Neodiprion lecontei: one gene and its partner. The protein of the gene in region 1 purifies or fractionates together with the protein of each later gene. This does not show direct contact. Links are inferred from orthologs where the notes say so. Each region holds a gene or a part of one and is shown in the gene's direction. Other genes may lie near its edges.

The links. Proteins that work in one complex are often made in the same cells at the same time.
Region 2: the proteins of WD repeat-containing protein 20 (region 1) and F-box/WD repeat-containing protein 5 purify together in Homo sapiens (co-immunoprecipitation; 3 studies listed by BioGRID and IntAct, counting the BioPlex papers as one, with this or other methods). This does not show direct contact. The link is inferred for Neodiprion lecontei from reciprocal best matches to the Homo sapiens genes WDR20 and FBXW5.

What each region holds. Positions count from the first base shown.
Region 1 is NC_060266.1:563,263-573,562, forward strand, and holds WD repeat-containing protein 20, read left to right. Parts: upstream 1-3,283; 5' UTR 3,284-3,782; coding exon 3,783-4,052; intron 4,053-4,492; coding exon 4,493-4,687; intron 4,688-5,305; coding exon 5,306-6,787; 3' UTR 6,788-7,680; downstream 7,681-10,300. Other genes in the region: U3 small nucleolar RNA-associated protein 25 homolog, read right to left, coding at 517-2,820. UniProt on the Homo sapiens protein: Regulator of deubiquitinating complexes. Activates deubiquitinating activity of complexes containing USP12. Anchors at the base of the ubiquitin-contacting loop of USP12 and remotely modulates the catalytic center of the enzyme.
Region 2 is NC_060261.1:32,800,902-32,811,686, forward strand, and holds F-box/WD repeat-containing protein 5, read left to right. Parts: upstream 1-2,910; 5' UTR 2,911-3,023; coding exon of another isoform or gene 3,024-3,045; 5' UTR 3,046-3,099; coding exon 3,100-3,373; intron 3,374-3,489; coding exon 3,490-3,647; intron 3,648-3,819; coding exon 3,820-3,997; intron 3,998-4,338; coding exon 4,339-4,531; intron 4,532-4,602; coding exon 4,603-4,830; intron 4,831-4,909; coding exon 4,910-5,085; intron 5,086-5,153; coding exon 5,154-5,490; intron 5,491-5,625; coding exon 5,626-5,838; intron 5,839-6,254; coding exon 6,255-6,522; 3' UTR 6,523-8,052; downstream 8,053-10,785. Other genes in the region: endoplasmic reticulum transmembrane helix translocase, read right to left, coding at 1-95, 272-409, 518-700, 791-943, 1,020-1,173, 1,302-1,530, 1,613-1,878, 2,178-2,444; succinate--hydroxymethylglutarate CoA-transferase, read right to left, coding at 9,428-9,453, 9,548-9,703, 9,783-9,891, 10,541-10,609, 10,724-10,785. UniProt on the Homo sapiens protein: Substrate recognition component of both SCF (SKP1-CUL1-F-box protein) and DCX (DDB1-CUL4-X-box) E3 ubiquitin-protein ligase complexes.

The sequences.
Region 1 (10,300 bases):
TCTAAAGATTTCGCATACTAAATAATTTCTCCTGATTGCTCTATACACATATCACTTGCCATTTTCTTACGCACGTGCTTTGAGCCCGCGCCACGTTTTTTTTTTTTATCCGCTACGTGAACCGATCGACTCCTTTTAGCAATTGGAAAGATCAAGACTCTCATTTTTCAATAAACACTGGAATGTAAAAAAATGTGGCTAAACCGGCACCGCAAATAATTCGAAGACCTAACAATAAGTCATCAAATCCCCTTTCTTCAGTCTAACAGGAGTATTATTATTTTCAGTGAATTTCTGGAATCAGATTAATCATTTATTTACTTTCGTTGGAGATTTCGGTTCAAATCTGGTGCTCGTCGACGTAAGCTAAAAATCAGTCACCCAGCTTTTTCATCGGATTTTATCGCCAACTGTGGAACGTTTATTACCAAATGTATACGTACTACATACATAATATGATTTTACAAATGCAGCAGGGACAATTTCGATACCGGACAAATACTTTTTCACTCGTCGTCAGTCGCCGGTCATAAACATGTGGACGTCTTGCCCCGAACTAATCATTTTCGTCGTCCTTTCGGTGCCGACGATACCTGCGAGCTTCAACGCGTCGTATTTCGAGTATACCAACGTTACGGTCATGTTGCTGTCCGAGCCTGCGTTCGGATTCTGATTCGCTTTCTGCATTAGGTTGCAAATTTCGCTGTAAAAGTGAGGGAACGTCGGCGGTGCGAAGAATATGAGGTGCCTTATACCCTTGAGGCGTATCCTACGGAAGAAATGGAATCGCTCGGAGTAAATGAGGAAATGCGCGTCGCTGTGGTAAAACATGTCCCTCGCCCTGGCCACCTTTGCATCCTTCGAATACTCGCAGATCTGAACGAAGCTGAGCTCCTCTTTCTTGAAGTAGTTGCGAACTTTCACGAAGTCAAAATAGGACGGCACGTAGATAACGGTGTGATTCATTATGCTGTCCTTGTACTGGGGGAGAATCTTCGAGACGAAGAAAGTGAACCTGGCCTCTATGTCGTGGCCGTGGTCTCGGGAATCGAACCTGTGAAACACCTGGGGCACTTGAATCACCGTTTGGCAAACGGTCCCGGAAGTCACCGGGTTCACGACCCTCGCTTTTCCCGCGTAGTTGAAGCACCGCTTGTTGAATATCGCGTGTATCTCGGGTAACGGAACGCCGGAGAATATCAGCGTCTGCCGATAGAACTTGGACCAGCCGTTCACCACCCAGCTGCGAACGCGAGAGAAATCCGTCCCGTGGGATTCCTTTGGCTGCAGATGTGCGTGGTCGAGGACGTGCAGCAGGTGGTCCCAATTCTGCATCGCGAACACCTCCGTCTGGTCCATCACGAGCAACTCCACGGAAGCAAGGAAATCGTAATCTCTGTCGGGTTCGCCCTCGGCGCCGACGAGCATTCGGAGTCCCAGGACGGACGAAATGATTATGTCGGACGAGTAAAAGTCCGAATAGAGTTTCAACGTTTTCTTCGTCACGGATATGCCGATTTTAAAGGTATCGTCGACGTTTCCTTCGAACGTTTGCTCGTAATCTTCGGGCTTGGGATTTTTCCTCGGCATAGCGAGTTCGTTGCCACTGAAATCCTCCATGAATCGAAGTTTGTTCACCACGGACCCACCCTTGTCTTCCCCGATTAAAATCGCGATCAGTAGCCGAACGATTTTTAAACACGAGTGCCTGAAAGGGACTATTATAAGAACCTTCGGCCTGACCAAACCCTGATCCCGATATTCATCCGGTGTATCCGCTATCCCTGACTTCTTGGCTTTTGTCAGTTTCGCATTGTGATGCAAGACCTTGGTTCTGGTTTTTAAAACGTGATTAACCGCGTGCAAGCAATAAAGAAATCTAATTTGTTCGCCATTGGCGAAATTTCGCTCGTTGTAGCACAGATCTTGATAATTGTTAATTATGGTGAACAATTCTTTTTGCAACGGGGTTAAGGGACTAGGCTTAGACGCCAGACTGTCTTTAATATTATCGTAGTTTGCCTTGGAGATATTGCCTTGAATTTGTGACTTGATGAATAACTTGTCCCAGTCAACGTCGTCTATGACTTGCGGAACAGCTCCGTGTCTGGCAAATTGCTTGTCTTCCAATATCGAGACCTTGGGTCGTTTTCTAACAGGCTTAGAAAACTCATCCTCAACCTCTGGGATTTGAAACACAACGGTTCCGAGAGCGGGCCACTTCGATCTACTGGTGGCAGCCTTCTGAGGAGTTAGGGAAACGGATTTGTACAAGTCGTCGTCCAAATCGTTGAGCAGATGAATTGAAAACGGATCTCTGAGCTTCCCAGCATCTTCGCGCGCAGTCTCTTGATCCTCTTCCTCTTCCTCCCTCAAATTTATCTCGACATGTTCAGCGTCGCTAGCCTCGGAAGTGACGTGATCTACGCCCGAGTTTTTCGTCTTGAAAAGATTTTCTTCTTCGACGGAAGATTTCACCTCGGCTTCGTCGTCAGGCTCGGATTCAGACTCTGACTCACAATCGGAGTCAATGACAGGTTGCCTCTTAGTTTCAGCACCACCGATAGCTGAAAGCAACATTTTTAACGGATCCTCTCGTTCCTCTTCCGAACTCTCAGCCTCAAGTTCCAACTGTTTGCTCCTCTCCGCCTCTAATTTTCGCCTCCTATTTTCAATCTCTTCGTTCTTGGCATCACGTTCCTTGACATACGAGGCTTCCCTGATATTGAATTTACATTTTTTCACCTTAGGCTTATGCTCGAAACGTTTATCAAATTTTCGTCGATTCCCTCCGCGAGTCGGTTTTTTCCCACGAACCATTGTCAACCGTCCCACTTTCAATATCGCCAGCAATAATTCAATTCAAATGAACACGGCCTATCGACAACCAAAAACTGAACGCTTGCATTGGCAAGCACATGGTTTTCAGGTTAGGTTCCGTTGAGACAGCAGCACTGCGAACGAGGCGGCGGAGAAGGTTGGCACCAATGGATACCAAACATAGCAGACGACAAAGAGCGGGGAGCGTCGCCTTATTTGAAAACGAAATTGACACAGCGTATACGTTGCGGCATCTCCTCGAATGCACAGCGATCTCCGCGAAGCGAGGAAAGATTCGAGAATTTCACGGAGAATGATCCTTGTAAAAGTTATTGACGGAGCTGGTCTTGTCGATTGATGAATCGGACGAAACAGTTTTTTCCGAGCAGCTGCGATATTCCTGTCGACTAGGATGCGGCCAGAAGGAGGTGGTCGGTCATTACGAAACGGGCGAGTGGTACGATCAGTATCGTTCGAGCGACAGCGGCTGCTCGTTGACGCGACGAGGGACGGTTAAACGGTCGTCAACATGTGTGACAGGAAGAAGGAAGGAGCGATTAAATCAATTAGTAATTCAACCATCTGTTGAGAAAATATCCGGTTGCAGAGCGATATTATGTAGGATTGCCCGGTGTTGGCAGAGTGTCGGTCGGCTGGGGTGTGCGCGCGCACCAACAACACTGGAGCGAGCCGCGACGATCAGCTCGCAGACAATTTCGCTGCGGGTTCGGATCTTGTACTCGGGACTCGGCGATTCCGCGATATTGCATGGTGGTGGTGGTGATGGTGATGGTGGTGGTGGTGGTGTTGTTAAGAAAACAGTAACCACACTCTCGTCGTCGTTCGATCGAAGAGCCGGGATTGGTATAATCGCGGATCAATCGACGGTTAACTAAAATAGGAAAGGAAACACCCATTTCCTCGATTCTCATGAACTCCACCGTCGTTTCTCTAGTGGTAAGATGGCGGTGCAGCTCGATGGAGGGGGGAAGGACGACTTGAAAACACAATTTGTCACGCGAGAAGGAACGTACAAACTGATGACCCTCTCGGAGTACTCCCGACCTAACAGGGTGGGCTACACCAACAGCCAGGGCAGCGCCTCGGTCAGGGTGTCCTTCGTCACATTGCCCGATCCAGCCGATCCCACGGGAGCCCAGGGCCTCGGCGACCGCATGTGCTTCAACTTTGGCAAAGAATTATACGTATACGTTTACCGTGGCGTCAAGAAGGTACCTCCTCTTCTGCCACCTCGTTAAACCTGCCCTATTATCCCTGCGACTCTTTCGGCGCTAACTTAACGATACATAACCTCAAACAGCCCCCCTCCCCCCTCCGCCTCGTCGTTCCGACTCCATCTTCGCAACCACCACCACCACAACTCTCCAACCTCGTCATATTCTTCGCATTTCTACTTCACTTCGACTTTATCTATGTTACATTTACATTTACGTTCACTTTTAGTTCATCCTATGCTTTGTTGGCCTGTGTTATGCTGGTGAAAAAATTGATCAATGATAACACTAATAGAAACATGCAAACTTTTGTCAGGTTTCCTAATCTTGGCACACAGCTACGATTGCTTGGTTCTGAAATACAAATTCATTTTATAAGAGCTTAGGAACCGTTTTCTGAATAATTCTCATTCAAAATCTATCTCAAAGTATAATAGCAACTGTTTCAGGCTGTGGATCTCAACAAACCTGTTGACAAAAAGCTCTACAAAGGAACAAATCCAACCTGCCATAACTTCAACCAAACTACAGCCACTGCAGACAGCGCGCCACTGCTCGTCGGATTTTCCACAGGACAGATTCAGCTCATAGATCCAATTAAAAAGGAGCTTAGCAAACTTTACAATGAAGAGGTATGCATAACAGATCAATTCAAATCAAAAGCAAAAATCCATCCTATCCTGATGAGCAATATTCATTTCAATAACTGGGCAGCCAAAGCTAGGCACATTCTACGAGTAAAGGCTAGCTAAGGGCTCTTTGTCAGGCTTATTGCTGATTGCTGAATGACTGAGATACAGCACCGTTATTTTGCCGGCACGTGATAACCAGGCAATTAGCAACAGACACGTAATATGCTATCTGTCGCGACAAGTGAGAGTTTTTTTTGCTTTATTATCTGCCACAGATGGCTCCGCGTAACCCTACATCATTCAAGGTTGGCAGTACTGTTGTAACGCAACTATAACTTGATGAAATAATTAAACAGGCATTACATACTGTGTTATGCAATACTCCGCTTATCTCTCCGATCACTGACAATGCGCCAAGATACTAAGATCTCTGCGTATATTAAAGCTGTAATCTATTCGTATTTATTAGCTATGTTGTTATTCTCTACCAGTTGTAAAACCCTTTGACGAATAGATATGGCAAGGACTCGAGTTATTTAATTTACTGGGAAGATGTTGACATTAGTTGAAAGATAAACGCGACAAAGAATAATCAGCAACTGATGTTTGTAATTTCAGAGGCTAATCGACAAGAGTAAAGTGACCTGCATCAAATGGGTTCCGGGATCGAGCAATCTATTCCTGGTTTCGCATAGCTCTGGCCAACTGTACCTGTACAACGAAGAGCTGCTTTGTGGAACGACACCGCCTCATTATCAGCCGTTCAAATCAGGGGATGGCTATGCGATTCACACATGCAAAACAAAGTCCACAAGAAACCCCCTGTACCGATGGGTGATCGGCGCTGAGGGATGCTGTATAAATGAATTTGCATTCAGTCCCTGTGGCTCTAATTTGGCTGTGGTATCCCAGGATGGCTTCCTACGAGTTTTTCACTACGATACGATGGAACTAGTGGGATCGGCGAGGAGCTACTTTGGAGGATTCTTGTGCGTCTGTTGGTCACCGGATGGACGATACGTCGTAGTAGGAGGAGAAGATGATCTGGTGACGATATGGAGCTTCAATGAGAAAAGAGTCGTGGCCAGGGGCCAGGGTCATCACAGTTGGGTCAGTGTGGTCGCGTTCGATCCCTACACAACGTCCTACGGGGATCACGATCCAGATTTCAGTGGTTCCGACGACGAATCCATGCCTCACACTAATCACAATAATCACTTTCATGAGAAGCCCAACAGATTGTCGACAGTCTCCCAAGGTATTCATTCCAATAGAAATTCGTGCGGGTCGGAGCTAAGGGTGTCCGGAGGAACCTGCTACAGGCTGGGAAGTGTCTCCCAGGACACTCAACTCTGTCTATGGGATATAACCGAAGACGTTCTTCGGCCGCCAGTCAGTGCCAAGCAAAGGACGTCGACCGCAGGTTCGGGGACATTTTCGTCATCGGGAACATTTACAAGCGGGAATGGAGCAACGTCCAATCATAATTCCAACAATGCCAAGCATAACAATTTGAATAATATAGGTTTTAAAGAGAGCGCGAGTGGTAACAATGAAAGTAGTAATAATAGTATTAGCACCAATGCGGCAGTGTCTACCGTGAATTCATTGACTCAAAGGCTGGCGGGCTTGGGTTTCGGGGAGAGGAAAGGTGACAATCACAAAAGAAACTTTAGCCTAACGATGAGAGGAAGTGGAACGAGCAACAACGCGATACAAAATAATAGTGGGGAGAAATCTGGTAGTAACTCAAATTCTAGTAATTCAAACAGTGTTGGCGGGGGTCTAGGTACGAATAAAAAGTCCGGCGGTACGATGGACGATCCTATGAGATTGATAGGGACCGCCTGGTGTCCACGTTTCGACGAGTGCCCTGTTCTAGAACCATTGGTGTGCAAGAAACTGGCCCACGAGAGGCTGACTGAATTAGTGTTTAGAGAAGATTGTTTCGTGACAGCATGTCAGGACGGGTATGTCTACACGTGGGCGAGACCTGGCCACATGGTAGGTCCTCTGACGATAAGCAGCACCCTCCACAGGCCCCATCACCACACCAATCCTCATACCAACGCCAATTCTAATCGACCAAATGATCTCTGATGTAACCCATCTTTTATTGTTATTAAAACTCTATCGAATCGAGTTTATTAACTAATTATTAATCAATTAATTTGTATATACTAGAGATAGCTCAGGTCCGTAACTATATTGTTGGACAAATAATCAAAGGCCTGTAACTATTTTATCGAAGCCCTTGAAATTTATCTGATAACGACAAGCAGTAACTAACGTGACGGTCGTTGATGAAAATAAAAGGAACTAGAAGAATGTTACAGAACTTTCAACTATACTTTAATTCACTCCATACTGTATATGAATACAAATATTTACGAAGGAGCACGGATTGCGTGTGATACTGTCTCGTTTGGACGTCAATTGAAACATACTCGAAATTATCTGTTTTAGTCAGGCAGCGCGAGAGTTAGAGTCTGAGTATTAGAAAATCTCGACTACATGTTTTAATTTTGGTTGCAAAATTTGAGCTCTATTCTTGAACTAAGTAAAATTCACTTGACTAAACATCCAGTTTTCGTCTGAACGCAGTATTATCCCGACGCCCCTATCCTAATCAATGCGTTGAATTGAATATGTCAAAAAAAGAAGAGAAATGAGGAAGGAGGAAAATTGAAATCACGTTAAAAGAAGTCTAAATTATAGATTATATTTATGTCCGGTTTGCATCTCTGAGAGTGATATTGTTTATGCCCAGTAGAGGTCTGGTAGCCGGGCAGGTCCCACCCTCTCTCTCCCCGCTCTCCTATTTTCCGCAGGCCCGTGTAAAGTGTTACTAGCTTAGCTTAGCCAATCGTAGTAAAGCAATGAATTACATAGCGAGACTATTGTCCCAGAATATTAATAATGTGACATTTATTCCTTTGTTGGAAATGATGAATTGCCTTGTTGTAAAATAAAGCAAAAAGTTGAATGAAAAACTGCTGCTTGCTTCCTGCTTGAACTTACGTCTCTTTTTGTCCATCTGTTTCCTATTTTTAATTTCACTTTTATCCCTTACTTAACAAAGTTGCGTTCCTGCCGAATAGAAACATGCCGCTTATTCATATACCCAGATTTCAACAAATGTTAGCCTTTTGGTACAAAAACTTCACCTGTCTCACCAAACGTTTCCTTTGCTTGTACACCGATGCCGCTATTTAGATCTGTGTTAATTTTTCTTTCATAAAAAAATTAATATTCCCCGCGTTGCTTTTGGCTGACCCAAGAGGCCACGGATGCTGCCCTGAGTTTGCGCATGGTACGTACAAGACTTTAAATTTGTTTGATCCAGCTTTTAGCTTTTCCTATTTTGCTAATTGGAGATTTTCATAGCCGGTAGTCTCAAAAACAAAAAAAAAAAAAAACCCAGTAGCGTTATTTTATCGAGTAAAGTTAACCCGTTGTTTTTTTTTCTTGTATCTTCCACAGTATGAGGTTCTAACTTCGAGGTACATTCAATAATCCAAAGCATAAGCTTTAATAGTCATCACATCACATCAATGATCAACGATCCGGTCTAAGTTGATAAATTGAATTTCAGGGAAGCATAGGACAAATGGGAGCAGCTTTTCACGTAACGAGCCTAGTGGATGATGGCGGTACTATAGTGTAGCCACGGATGAACATCAACCAAACTTTCCCTGGGACAAGTTTATCATCCTACATCGAAACGCCACACTTTTGCCAGCAGAATATTACACTCCATTCCACTGCAGTTGTTACTTTACAATCAAGTATTATAACTCTAAAAGACTATTGTAAATTGATTCAAGTCCTATGCTATACATGTAGTATTATATACAAATCAAGTACGTCATTTCTTGTTCTCTTTCGATTAATCTAAATTCAGTTAAGATTTTCAATGGAATCTTCGATTTAATTTACATATGGTTTCATCAATGACCACATCGCGTGAAGCATGAAAAAGCTGCTATCGTTTCGTCTACCGATGATTAATCGTTGGGTCTAAGATCGAATTTTTAGTTGTCGATAGAAAACTTGAAATTCAGCACCATTTTCTCGTATAGGTAGATCACTTTTGTTACGATTATAGAAAACTAAATTTTGTCAGTGCATTGTCAATCTCGTATATTCTCATTTGTTCTTTAATCAATTAGCCAAAAAACTGTGTATGCAAAGCTCGGAAGTTCCTTTAGTAACTAGAATTTGAGATATAATTGTATGAGTGAGCGCAGCGGGGTGTCAAGCCAAAAAGTAATAAATATTGCAATTATAACTTGTCCGATAAAGTTATGCACTGTGTTGTAGGACAGATCGATTTAGCAAATCTAATATTCCACGTGGTGATACTGTACATTTTCAAGTACCCTAGTGCAAATTTGTCTCAAAGACAAAGATTTTACATAAATTCAGTATTAGGTTTTGAATTAGGTATAATATGCCTGCACGTTATTCCACGATACATTGGGTAAGTTGATTTTTCAAGTGAATTAGCATTGCAATGAATACGGTGATGCGAAAATAAAGACTTTAAACCGCAGTAAATTGTATGTTGGGGATATGCGCATATTACGTACAACTTGTATAAATTTACTTGTACAATTACGAAAACTTGATAAATTTCGTTGTAAGTTTATTAAAAAAATAACTAGTTTTGTTGCAAAATTTATTTTGCTACCACCGTCGACATATACGAGAGATTATACATATATACGACTGCGCAACGAGCATGATTAGCGAATTTTCATTTGTACGATAATATGCATACATTATTATGTGTACATTCTTTACGATCACTATAAATCAGAGCATTTAATTCTCAACTCGACGTTGTATCTTGTTAATATTTTCTCATCAATGACCCAACCCATATTTTCTGCAGCATGGATTCCTATTCCACTTATAGCCAGTACTATAAAGTTTTTTTGAAAATGCAACGCCAAGCAGAATTATATTTGATAGATTTTTATTTGCAGCAACTCACATATGTCTCGTTCGTTGATCTCTGCTCAGGATAAGTGATTATGTATTATCCGTTACGTTCTCTCCATGTTTCAAACCGCACATTGTTCCAACACATCACACACAAAATGCAACACACCATAGTGATCCGCGGTAACTTTTCATAGAAGGGAATTCAAAGAAATCGACTTTCAAAGCACACACGTTCAACAGTTTTTAGGAGAAATTCACTCACGGACTCAGCGGACCGATCACTAATACCCGATATTCTAGTCGTTAACAATAAAATGAAAAGTCGAAGACACTACCGAAACGGTTCCCGCCTGAACATTACTTAGCAGCATTTTTAAATAAATGAACGTCGTGTCGGTGGATGTCCGTATTCAAAACGTCCGTTTATGCGGATCATATTGAAGTTAGTAACGTTATCGTAACGATTCATGACGACGAAAAACCGTTATTTCGCGATTTTAGAATTTTCTGGAATTCAGTAAACTGCAATGAAACAAAACACACTCATATTTCGAAATCTTGGTGGTTCCTTAAAAATCATTGTAAAATCAAGAGAATAGTGATTTTTTCCCGTTACCAACTTCAATTTTATTGTTTATGCGATATCGTTGTGAAAATAGACTA
Region 2 (10,785 bases), on another chromosome or scaffold:
CAAATCGTCACTCGTTAAAGTTCCAGTTTTGTCAAAACAGCAAATTTCTACCTTTCCAGCAAATGGAATTCTGAAAGGCTCCGTACAGTAGACTCCTAAACAAGTAGCAAAATTGTAGGTATGGTGTGTAATATATGTACACACATTGAAATGGGTTTAAAAAACTTGAAGTTTCTACACCAATATTTAATAGTGAAAATTCTTTACGTCCTTGTGTTTCAAGATGGTTTTTTATTATTACTATTATTATTATTTGTTAATTGTGACCCACCTAGTTTAGATAAGGCCAGTAGTGATGTGTTGACTGCCAGGGACAATTCTATTGGCAATTCTGGTGGCACAACCGATGTGAGAATGAGAGTACACTCGAGAAACAATTTGTACTTATTTCTTGTCGGGTCTTCACTTCCTGAAATCGATTTTAAGTGAAGAATATATTTTGCTTTTAAACGATTGGGTCAAAACAATAAAGATTCGACAGAATAACTGTGACTGACATTTGATAAAATGTTAGTACCTTTAATCCAAACATATGCAGCAGCTGCAACTGCGAAGATCAACAGAAATAAAATAAAGCCAAATGTTTCCAAGTTGTTTGCCGTTACTCGTTTCACTCCAAAGAGAATGGTCCTTAATAGTTTTCCCTGTGACGTTGAAAAGCCAGTTCGCAAAACATAGGCCACACAGCCATTGTCGGTTGCTGTTAAAGTAGGAAAAAGAAGATGAAGTGTGTCAATGAGGTACTTTAATATTATTAGAACAGACAAGTCCTGCTAATTATTCAACATGCCTCTAAGACCTGTTGTACTTTTCCCAGGGGACGTATGCTGGACCACTTTGGTGCCACCGAACAAAACATGTAGTTTACTATCCCCATCGATGTTCAAATCTCTGTTTCCTTCAAGTCCCTCGACAGGTTCTTTCATTTGTGGTACTGACTCTCCTGCGTTTCATTACTGGAGTTAATAATGCACAAATTGGAATTAAAGAATTTGAATCAAAACTTGAATTCCTATTACCAGTCAACATGCTCTCGTCAACAATGCAAGGACCTCTCAATAAAAGCATGTCGCATGGAACTAGATTGTCATTCTGTGATCGTGTAATGGAAACAATATCGCCAGGAACCAGTTGATCAGTAAATATAGTTCGCCACCTTCTGTTCCTGTATACCTATACCAAATTTTGTTGAAAAATCCATTGTATTACGATGAAAATGAAAAGCTTGAAGTTTATTTTTAACGTGTTAATTTTATAAAACATATGAACTATTATGAAAATAATCATGCTTGAAAGCTTACCATTATCATGTATGGCTTATTACCCATTTTACGAATTTCTGCCATGTTTCTAAGTTGCTGCTGAACCAACGTGCACTCAAACATGATAAGCATAATTAGAGTGAATATGCTGTAATACCAATATTTGTCAAGGCACCACAGTGCAACGCAGAATACTTGAAACACAAAGAACGGAGCAATGGCACGCTCCTTAAAAAGCTCCCTAAATTCAGGTACAACCATATCGAGACTAAAAGAATGATTTGATTATATTTAATTGTGCTATGTAAGGATACAAATGTATCAGATAATAAATCCAAATACGTTCTTACTTGTTTCTACCATATTTTTCTTCGGCGGCTGTAACTTCCTCTGCATCCTGATAGCCCTTCCAGCTATTATAATGCTGAATAGCATTCGCAACAGGAAACTCTAAGCCCTTGAATATCTTCTTATCTGGATCCCATGAGTACTTAGTCTTTTGGAAAATGAACCATGGCTCTTGACTACTGCTGTGATGTAGTACAACAAGCTCTGAACTTCCGTTATTCGGTGTCGGAACAACTTTGGCTACTTTAGCTTTGTAAGGATCGTTTGTCTACGAATAACATGAATAATTATAGATGTATAGAAAGAGGAGCTTAATGGATAAAAGACCGCTGGTGTTGTTGAAGATTAGTTAACGGTATATCAATTTATACCTTATATTTTTTGGAAACGTAGTGAAAGCATGACATAAGAAATACGAAACTCCCGCCATCGTAGCAGAAGAATAAATTGACATGGCTGCCGCGTAAGGAAAACATATTGCTCGATTTAAACATAAATAGTTAATTAGGAATGACAAGAGTGACAATTACTAAGGCGAGAGTACGGGTAACGATGAAAAAAACTTACAAAACTGCAGTTTAGAAAACTTTGCACGTGGACTGACCACTGACAACATAGGCAGACGAAAATCTGTAACAATCCGATAGCCGCAATGCCCACCAAACCAGCATCGTAATATTCGTCGATACCGTAAATAAAAATCCAACTGTAAATCCACACGGCTTGTAGGACGACAAACGGCAATATGTAACCATTAAATAACAATTTGCGAGGTACGTGCAGGGTGACACTCTGCACGAGTTCATCTACGCGTGTTTCAGATACCGTAACCATGATTACTCCACTGTAGCCGTCGAGAAAGAACAGACGAATTACGGGTACGTAAACCGTCACTGAACTGCTCAAACTGCTAGAAACCCGGTAGATCCTGAGTCACGGCGTTTCGCGTATAGAGCTGTGAATCCTACTACAATTTTCCGATGCAACGGACGAAACCAACGCTGCGAGCGGCGGTATCGGTACTCCAGCTTTCGATCCGAATGTGTCCCACCTCTATAATCAGAAATATTACGGAGTACGGTCTTCTACACAAATCTGGGCCACTCTTGGCACTCCTATCCCCTTACTATTGAACGCCGCGTAACCGTTTTGAGGCCTATACTTCTTAGTTTGTACACCAAAAACCGGAGCGCTGCAATCTCGGTGGCCGTTACTACAAATGCATTGGCCTCCCCGTCACCAGCGCTACCGGGAAAAATTCACAACATCGGGTTCACTACCGTCACAATTTTAGAGACGAAGTGCCTGGACCTGTGCAGAAAACCGTAGTACGGAGTTGTGTGTCCTCCCCTCTTCCTTCCTGGCCCACAGATATCACCAGGAGGGAAAAGCTCGATCTGCGGTACAGAGAGGATGACAGGCATCAGCTGTTATAGTAAACAAAGAACCGTGATATTATACAAAGAGTTGAGCTAGGACTTTCGCTGAAATGGACGGTACATTTAATTCCGCTGAAAACTGTCAACCGCTTAGTAGTAGAAATTCATTTACAGATTACACGGAGAATTCCGATAACCATGACATTTGGTGGTACCTGCCAGACTCCGTACTTCTAAGCATTTTTCAATATCTTACACCAAAAGAGCTGCTGACAGTTGGAGAAGTATGCAGAACATGGCACAGGGTTTGCAAAGACGAATTCCTCTGGAAGGATCTCTTTTACCAAACCTACAAAATCGATCCGAACGTGAGCATTATGCCTGGTAAGTTAAACGCAATACCACCAAGTTATCTATTTATAGATGGTGAAAATAAATAAGCATTTGGAAAATAACAGTGCGCAATTAAATCAAAGATGAACATTTTTTGCCTGCTACAGGCAAAACTTCTTGGCTTCAAGAATTCAAACGGCTTACTTACCACACTCCGTTGTTGGAAACCGAGGTCCGCAAAGAACACACCAACCAAGTACTGCACGTTAGCTTTTCGCATAATGGGCAAATGTTCACAACATGCTCCAAAGACGGCTACATAATTGTAAAAACTTGTTAAATACTATAATTTATTTTCAAATAGTTGAAATTGAGTCAGTGTCTCAGAATTCTGTCAATTGCACACTTGGTCAATATTACTTTAAATTTGTATACAATGTCTTGCAATATTTCCGCTGAGAACAGCACCTTTTATCGAATTTATATTTATTTCTTAGGTATGGAACAGCAGTTATCCAGCAAGTATTAAATACCATCGAGACATGAAAACATTTAGCTGGAAGTACACACAATTTTCTCAATTCAATTCATCCGATACCTTGCTTCTTGTATCTGGAGTTCACTTTGGAACTCCCCACAGTACCTCTGGAGAAATTGCAGTCTTTAGTCTTGAGCGTGAGTATGGATTACAAAGAATAATACTCCTCTTTAGAACAGTAGAGTGGCAATGACTTGTCTGTATAATCTCGAATAAATCCAAAATTTAGGATTCTGATATTACCCTTCTAACTTCCGACCATAACTTGCAAACATATTGTGTTCTTCATGCTATGGAAATTTCAAATTTCGAATTTAGATTATTAACTAGAAACTAAATCAATTGAGAAATGTCAAGAATATTATTTATGGCCTATGATCTGTGAGCTTGGATTCTGACTGCTTAATGCCAAGAAAGCCAATTTCAAATTGTCAAGAAAAGATTTTTGGTATGTTTGCACTTCCAAATTTATTTACAGCTGGATTTGAACTTCAGTGCAGAGTTGTGAATAAACCCTATGACATATTCGGCACATGGTACAGCGAGCGACACTTACTAAGCGGAGATCTGCACTGGTTAGCACACTTGGTTAGCACAAGTGTGTTATGGCTGAACAAAGCTAGCCAAGAGTCAGCCAGCGAACATGTACCGATAATGAATCAATTGTATCGGTGAGTGGAATTGCATTAAAAAGGAAAAGATTTACATAACAATTCTTATGTAATGTGACCTTTTCTTATAGATTTTACAACAGCAATGCATCCTCGATTAGAGCTGTGATGGTAGCTAATTGTTTATCCCCCGCATCGCCGAAAACTGAAACTCAGCAAAATGAACCATTAACTTCTGATGTCAGAGAAGAGAAAGGGAATCCGCCAAGCCATAGAGAGCTATCCTCCATGTCTTCAAATAATGGTCAACAGCAGACTGAAGAACCTGAAGTTCTACATCATGCGTCATCCAGACTGCAGTGAGTTGACTTAAGACCTTAGTCAATCATAGTTATTTTTCAAGGTAGAGTCAATCTTGTGGTTTTTTTTTTACTTCAGATACAGCACACTGGAAGGTGGGTTTCTTAACTGGCGAAGGCTCGGCGATGGGTTTGAGTATGCAAGTCCCATTCAGTACAACGAAAATTACCGACAAGTGGAAATCGAAAAAGATACGACAGATCATAGTTGCGAAAATGATGATCTGACGTGGGAAGAAGAAAGCGAGACAACAGGTGAGTGAGAAATTAACTTCTTTGAAAATGATTTTATTATTAATTATTGTTCGCATTTACATTTACAGAGTCATCAGATGGAGAGGATTGTGACTCTGACGATTTAGCTGACAGCCCGGAGAAGTATCTCATTTTTACGACTGGGTCAAAAACTTACACTCCCCACCAAATTGGTTTTAAACGTATCAAGCCGATGAGTTTTCCGAGACGTCTTGATCCTGGGCCTTCTTTAAAAGAGAGGATTGCCCAGCGAGAACGCGAGCGCGAGAGACAAAATTGCAGATCGCCTAGAACCGAGCCTAATTGGCTGGACTATAATGCTGTCGCCGATAAATTTGACAAAGTAGATCATCTCATAGATCTTCATGGTCATGTTATCGGAATGAGTTTATCTCCAGATCACAGGTGTGTTTCACGATTGATTGAATCAAACCTAATTCATGAATGTAACAGCAAATTAGCAATGTTAATTTATATTGAACCCACTTCTATAATACTAGTTTAGTCATATCATAATTCAGGATTGATTTTGTCACCCAGATATTTGTATGTTAATACAAGACCGTGGCCAAGGGGCTACGTTATCACAAACCCGTTGGAACCACCACCAATTGCTCAAGAAATTGATATTCACGTTATCGATTTGGTTACTTTGAAACAAGTTGGTACAATGCTACGGGCGCACAAGGCTTACACGCCGAATCACGAATGTTTTTTTATATTCTTAGATGTGTGCAATGAATATGTTGCAAGGTAAGTCTACACGCGCATATTTTACATGTATTTTGAACAACTTCAGCAGAATTTTAAGTAAAATATGAGTTTTTGAGAAATACTCGCCCTTCCGATCTTCTTCTTTTTGTAACAGTGTATATTTTTACGATGTTAACCTTTCAAAAATAGCGAAAGTTACGATGTACAGATAGGGAAAACCTTAGTATATCTCACACCGAGGTCGACCTACCTGACAAAATTACGCTTTATTCTACCACTATTTATAACTCATCCAAGTTTCACTTTCAATCAAGTTCAAGACTATATCTCTGTCCTTAATGAGCAATGATATGATGTGCAATAATGATAAGCAATATTAAAGTCTTTGTCAAAAATAGTTGAAAGAAGACAATAAATATCAATAATAGTAAATGTTGATTAAATGTACTTTCTAGTGGAGCAGAGGATAAGCATGGTTATCTTTGGGATCGACATTACGGAGTATGTTTAGCTAAACTACCGCATTCTGATGTCGTAAACTCTGTTGCATTTAATCCGAAGGATCCTGAAATGCTTGTGACCACCAGCGATGACTACACAGTTAAAGTTTGGCGAAGTCGATCGATGGTCAAAGAGCTGGGATTAAATGAAGAAATGTATCGCAGGGGATTGGAAGTAAGAAAACGATGCCGGTATCACAGGAGCAGCTGTAACGTTGACTGATTAAAAGCTATTCAATTTCCAATTTAAAAACCTTTGCGCAATATTAATTACTAATTTAGCTTTTCACGAAGTCCTTTCGGGAAGTTAGATTTTGGAATGATTATAAAATAAATTGAAGTACCGGTGTAGAGTTTAAAAAGGATTGGAATTTAATCGCACCAAATATGATCTGAATTCATACAAGGTACAATGTCTATTATAGAATAGTGCAATTTTACTCTATAAAAATTGGAGTAACTAGTCTACATTGCGATTAACAGCCATTTTAACTCAATTAGACAAAGAAATCTGGTTGATTTTGTTGACACCAATATTTATCTTGCAGCTAATTTACTTATGTACATGAGTATACGTTGATTGGGTAATACATCAATTATTTTATACATCAATATATGCTGTATTGTATTAAACATAAGTCGACCCTGAATGTAAGTTGACTTCTGATTCTGAGACTTTATTTCAGTAATTATTCTTCAAATATACCTGTAAAGTCAATCGCTCATATCAGTTGAGTACAAATTTTTTAAAGCAAACCAGCACCAGAGACCTCGACTTATGTTCGAAAAACACTGTATTTAATACTATCGTATTGTTTTTAATGTCCAAGTTTCTTGAGGAAAATATTTGATCGAACTCAACTGGCCAGAAATTCTGTGAAAGAAACCTGATGTTCGGTTGAGTTTTTTTTGATGCGAAGGTTTTTGGAAAATTAAAATTTTGGAAGTTGAACAAACGAAAGATCAATTGTTTATTAACAATTTGCAATGTTGTGACTTCACTAGGTGTAGGGTTATAACTAATATGTACAAGTGAACGGTTTTCTTCAGTTGTATGAATATCTACTGGTTTCAAAGATTTCACTTTTTCGTGCAGGAATCACGACTGAAAATTTCGTTATAAGTTGTTTGAATTACTTCTACTTTGAAGTATAGTTTGTAACTTGACTAAAATTTATAGATATTGCAGCATATATAACTGTAGATTCACAAGCGTGCATGCTACAATTCCATTATTGATGACGTATTAGATACGACAGAAACATCCGGCATAAAAGTTGCAATGCGCAAGACGTGACATCATAGTCTTGAATTACAATAGCTTCAATTTTAATGAATTTTCATGATGAACGTTTTTTTGTCATTTGTTTGGCATGGTAAATTACAATTCAAAAAATGGAAGTACAAGGAATAGATGAAAATATTATATTCCAGAAACTGTATTTAGTCTGCAGTGGGGAAAAAAATTTCTGTGATTCACCATCAAGTCGATCTGTAAATAGCAAAAATATGTAATTTTTATATGTCGATTGCAAATCGTATCTTAATTAAATCAGTTGATGTGAAGTATACAAGACGTACTTAATTCATATTGTACATTAATTTAAGAATAAACATAATACTAACGTCACGAGCTCTGTTCCCTGTTCAGCTTTTCCTTCAAAATTTTAATTCCACACTTTACAACCATGTTTTTTTTCCCTCTTTTTTTTACTCATTACATGTATGATACAGTGAACCGTGAAAGGACACCTTTGTACATCAAAAATACATGGAATGCTGATTAGATGAATTTTTCAGAAGCGAAATATAGCTATCTTTTATGACAAGGAATTACAGCAAACGATGATTAATTGTGAACTAAACATCTTTTGAAAATTATTCAAAAATAATTTTCCTTGTATAAAAATATATATTCCTTTCTATCACGATAAATTAAATTTGATTTCGAAATATTTCAAAAAAAGAGCATATATTCAAATACTCAATTTTAATGTGGGACTCAATGTGCTTGACCTATGCTTCTTTCGCACTTGTATTGCATAATAAGTTACTTAGTTGTATATTTTATGTTATAGGAGCTTTCGATTATGCAAATTCGAAAATAAATTTATTGTGCTCCATTATTTAGCTTCAAGTATAGCAAAAGTATTTACAAAGCAAAACTACAAATTTGATTCGTTAAATAATTTTTCCTTGTAATTTAATTTACGACTGAAACTATTTAATGTCAAGTAGAAATAACAGTTTCTAAAAAACAAATATTGAAAATTAGGATTTCGAAATAAATCAATCAAATGATCTCAATTTTATACAAGAGTTCCTAAGAATATTCATTACATATGCAACGCACAACCAATACCCAACAAATATTGAGCAACACCCAAGACAATGTGTCTACAATTGGAAGATTGAAAACATTACGACCTAGGTAAAACTATTAGTTAGAGAAGATTTGTATTCCCTTCTCTCACGATTATTTCATCAGTTGAAATGACATATCATGGGTATAGATCAAAACACGAAGTTTCACTACAGTATGTAATTCAACTATCATATGAATGTGTATAATTTCCAAAGATTGACTGATCGACTATAGTGTTTGTTTCACCTTGAAATTTTTTGGAAGTCAAGACTTCGACAAAACTCATCATTGTAACTATTACATCATAGTTATTTATACACAAACTGCAATTGCCTGCGTCAAATACAGAGCAATTGCAAATTTTAACTAGCACAACAGCTTTCTATAAGCTGTTTAGAAAGTAGATAAAAATCAGCAATTAGAACTCAGAAGTCAGTTGATAATTTTGATTTTGACACATTTACTATGTTGGATTTCTGACTATTTGTTATTTAAATGAAGTGTCAGAAATCTCTTCATCTACTAGTATGTTCATGGAATTACGCAACGAATATGGCTACATTTTTAAGACAGATCTATCCTCCAAGTGAATAGGTAATATCGCTTGGAAAAAAGGTGAAAAGACTCCGTATAAAAAATCTGGCAAAATATCCTTCAAAGTTTTACATAACCTTGTCAACCTAACAATGAACTCAAATCTAAGATGCGAAGCCAACATTGGGTTACCTATCAACATTTCTAAAAATGCTTCAACCCTTAAAAATTAGGCAGATCCTGTAGCAATTGGTTCTGAAACAGAACGTTAAATGTAAATAAACAATTTTCTGTATATCCTGTAATAGACGATAAAAATCATACAAAGTTTAAAATACAAGAAATGTACCAGGTTGAGACGGTATGGCTCCTTGAGGTGCCTCATTTCCATTCGAGTTATTCTTATGATGAATATCTCTGTGCCCATGACAGTGCTCACACTCATCATCGCTGTCTTCTGAGCTACTCTCACCAAATTCTTTTGGTTTTTCGTATATACAGCAGCCTGTAGATTACGAATTATGTTAGAAAAGCGAGTCAAATTTTAATTTTGATTATATGCGTGTACTTAAGCGGAAATTTACATTTAGACTTTTTTTTATTCATATGCTCATTATCGACAGTTCCTTGTGTCCACTGAACTTTTTTACTGGATTTTGGCTTACGTAAACATAATCTCATAGTTGGTATATCCTGAAACAAAGAAATTGATCACAGAAGATTAATTTATGATCCAGTGAAATCTGGCTCTATTTTTTCTGTATATAAAATACTGTCTATATGTGTACCTATTATTCATAATCTTGAATAATGAGTTGAAACAATACCAGTGTGAGACAATTTCTGTGATATACATATTAAACCGGGTAAATTCTTATCACCATTACACTTATGAATGCAAAATTAATGAATTTAACATGGCAGAGCATAAAATAAGAAAGGAAACGAATATTCAGAACACCATATTCCATGAAGCAGTTTATTATTATCACTATGTGCTGCTCAGATAATACTTATTAAGATCTTGTTTTCTGCAATTCATACATCTGTAATCAATGCGAGCTCGCAATGCTAAAGTAATAGAAAAATCTAAAAATACTGTTTTGTTTTTACTTGTGTTTACAATACTGAAAATATTCAAATAATTTCATATTTCAACTGAATCTTCCAGCGCAGTTATTTACTGAATTATTTTCTCAGTCACTAATCTTGATATTTTCTCATCTGAATACTTTAAAACGTTTTTCAAGACTTCATTGGTGTGCTGTCCTAAAATTGGGGGTGGCGATCTAACAGAATTGTCAGCATAGCTGTAGCTCACTGGCGGACCGACAACTTTCACCTTTCCTATGCTTGGTTGGATCATTTCTTTGACCAACTTTATGTGCTTAATGTGTGGATCGTCAAAGACCTGGAAAATCAAATTATAACACACGAGTTAACAGATACCTAAGAATCAATAAACCAAGAATAGTTTTAAAAAATCAGTATAAAGATTTCCAGCTCTCTCGTTGCAAGGGCTTACCTGGCCAATCGTATTGATACGTCCATTTGGAAAGGGAGCATCTCGAAAAATTTCAGACCAAT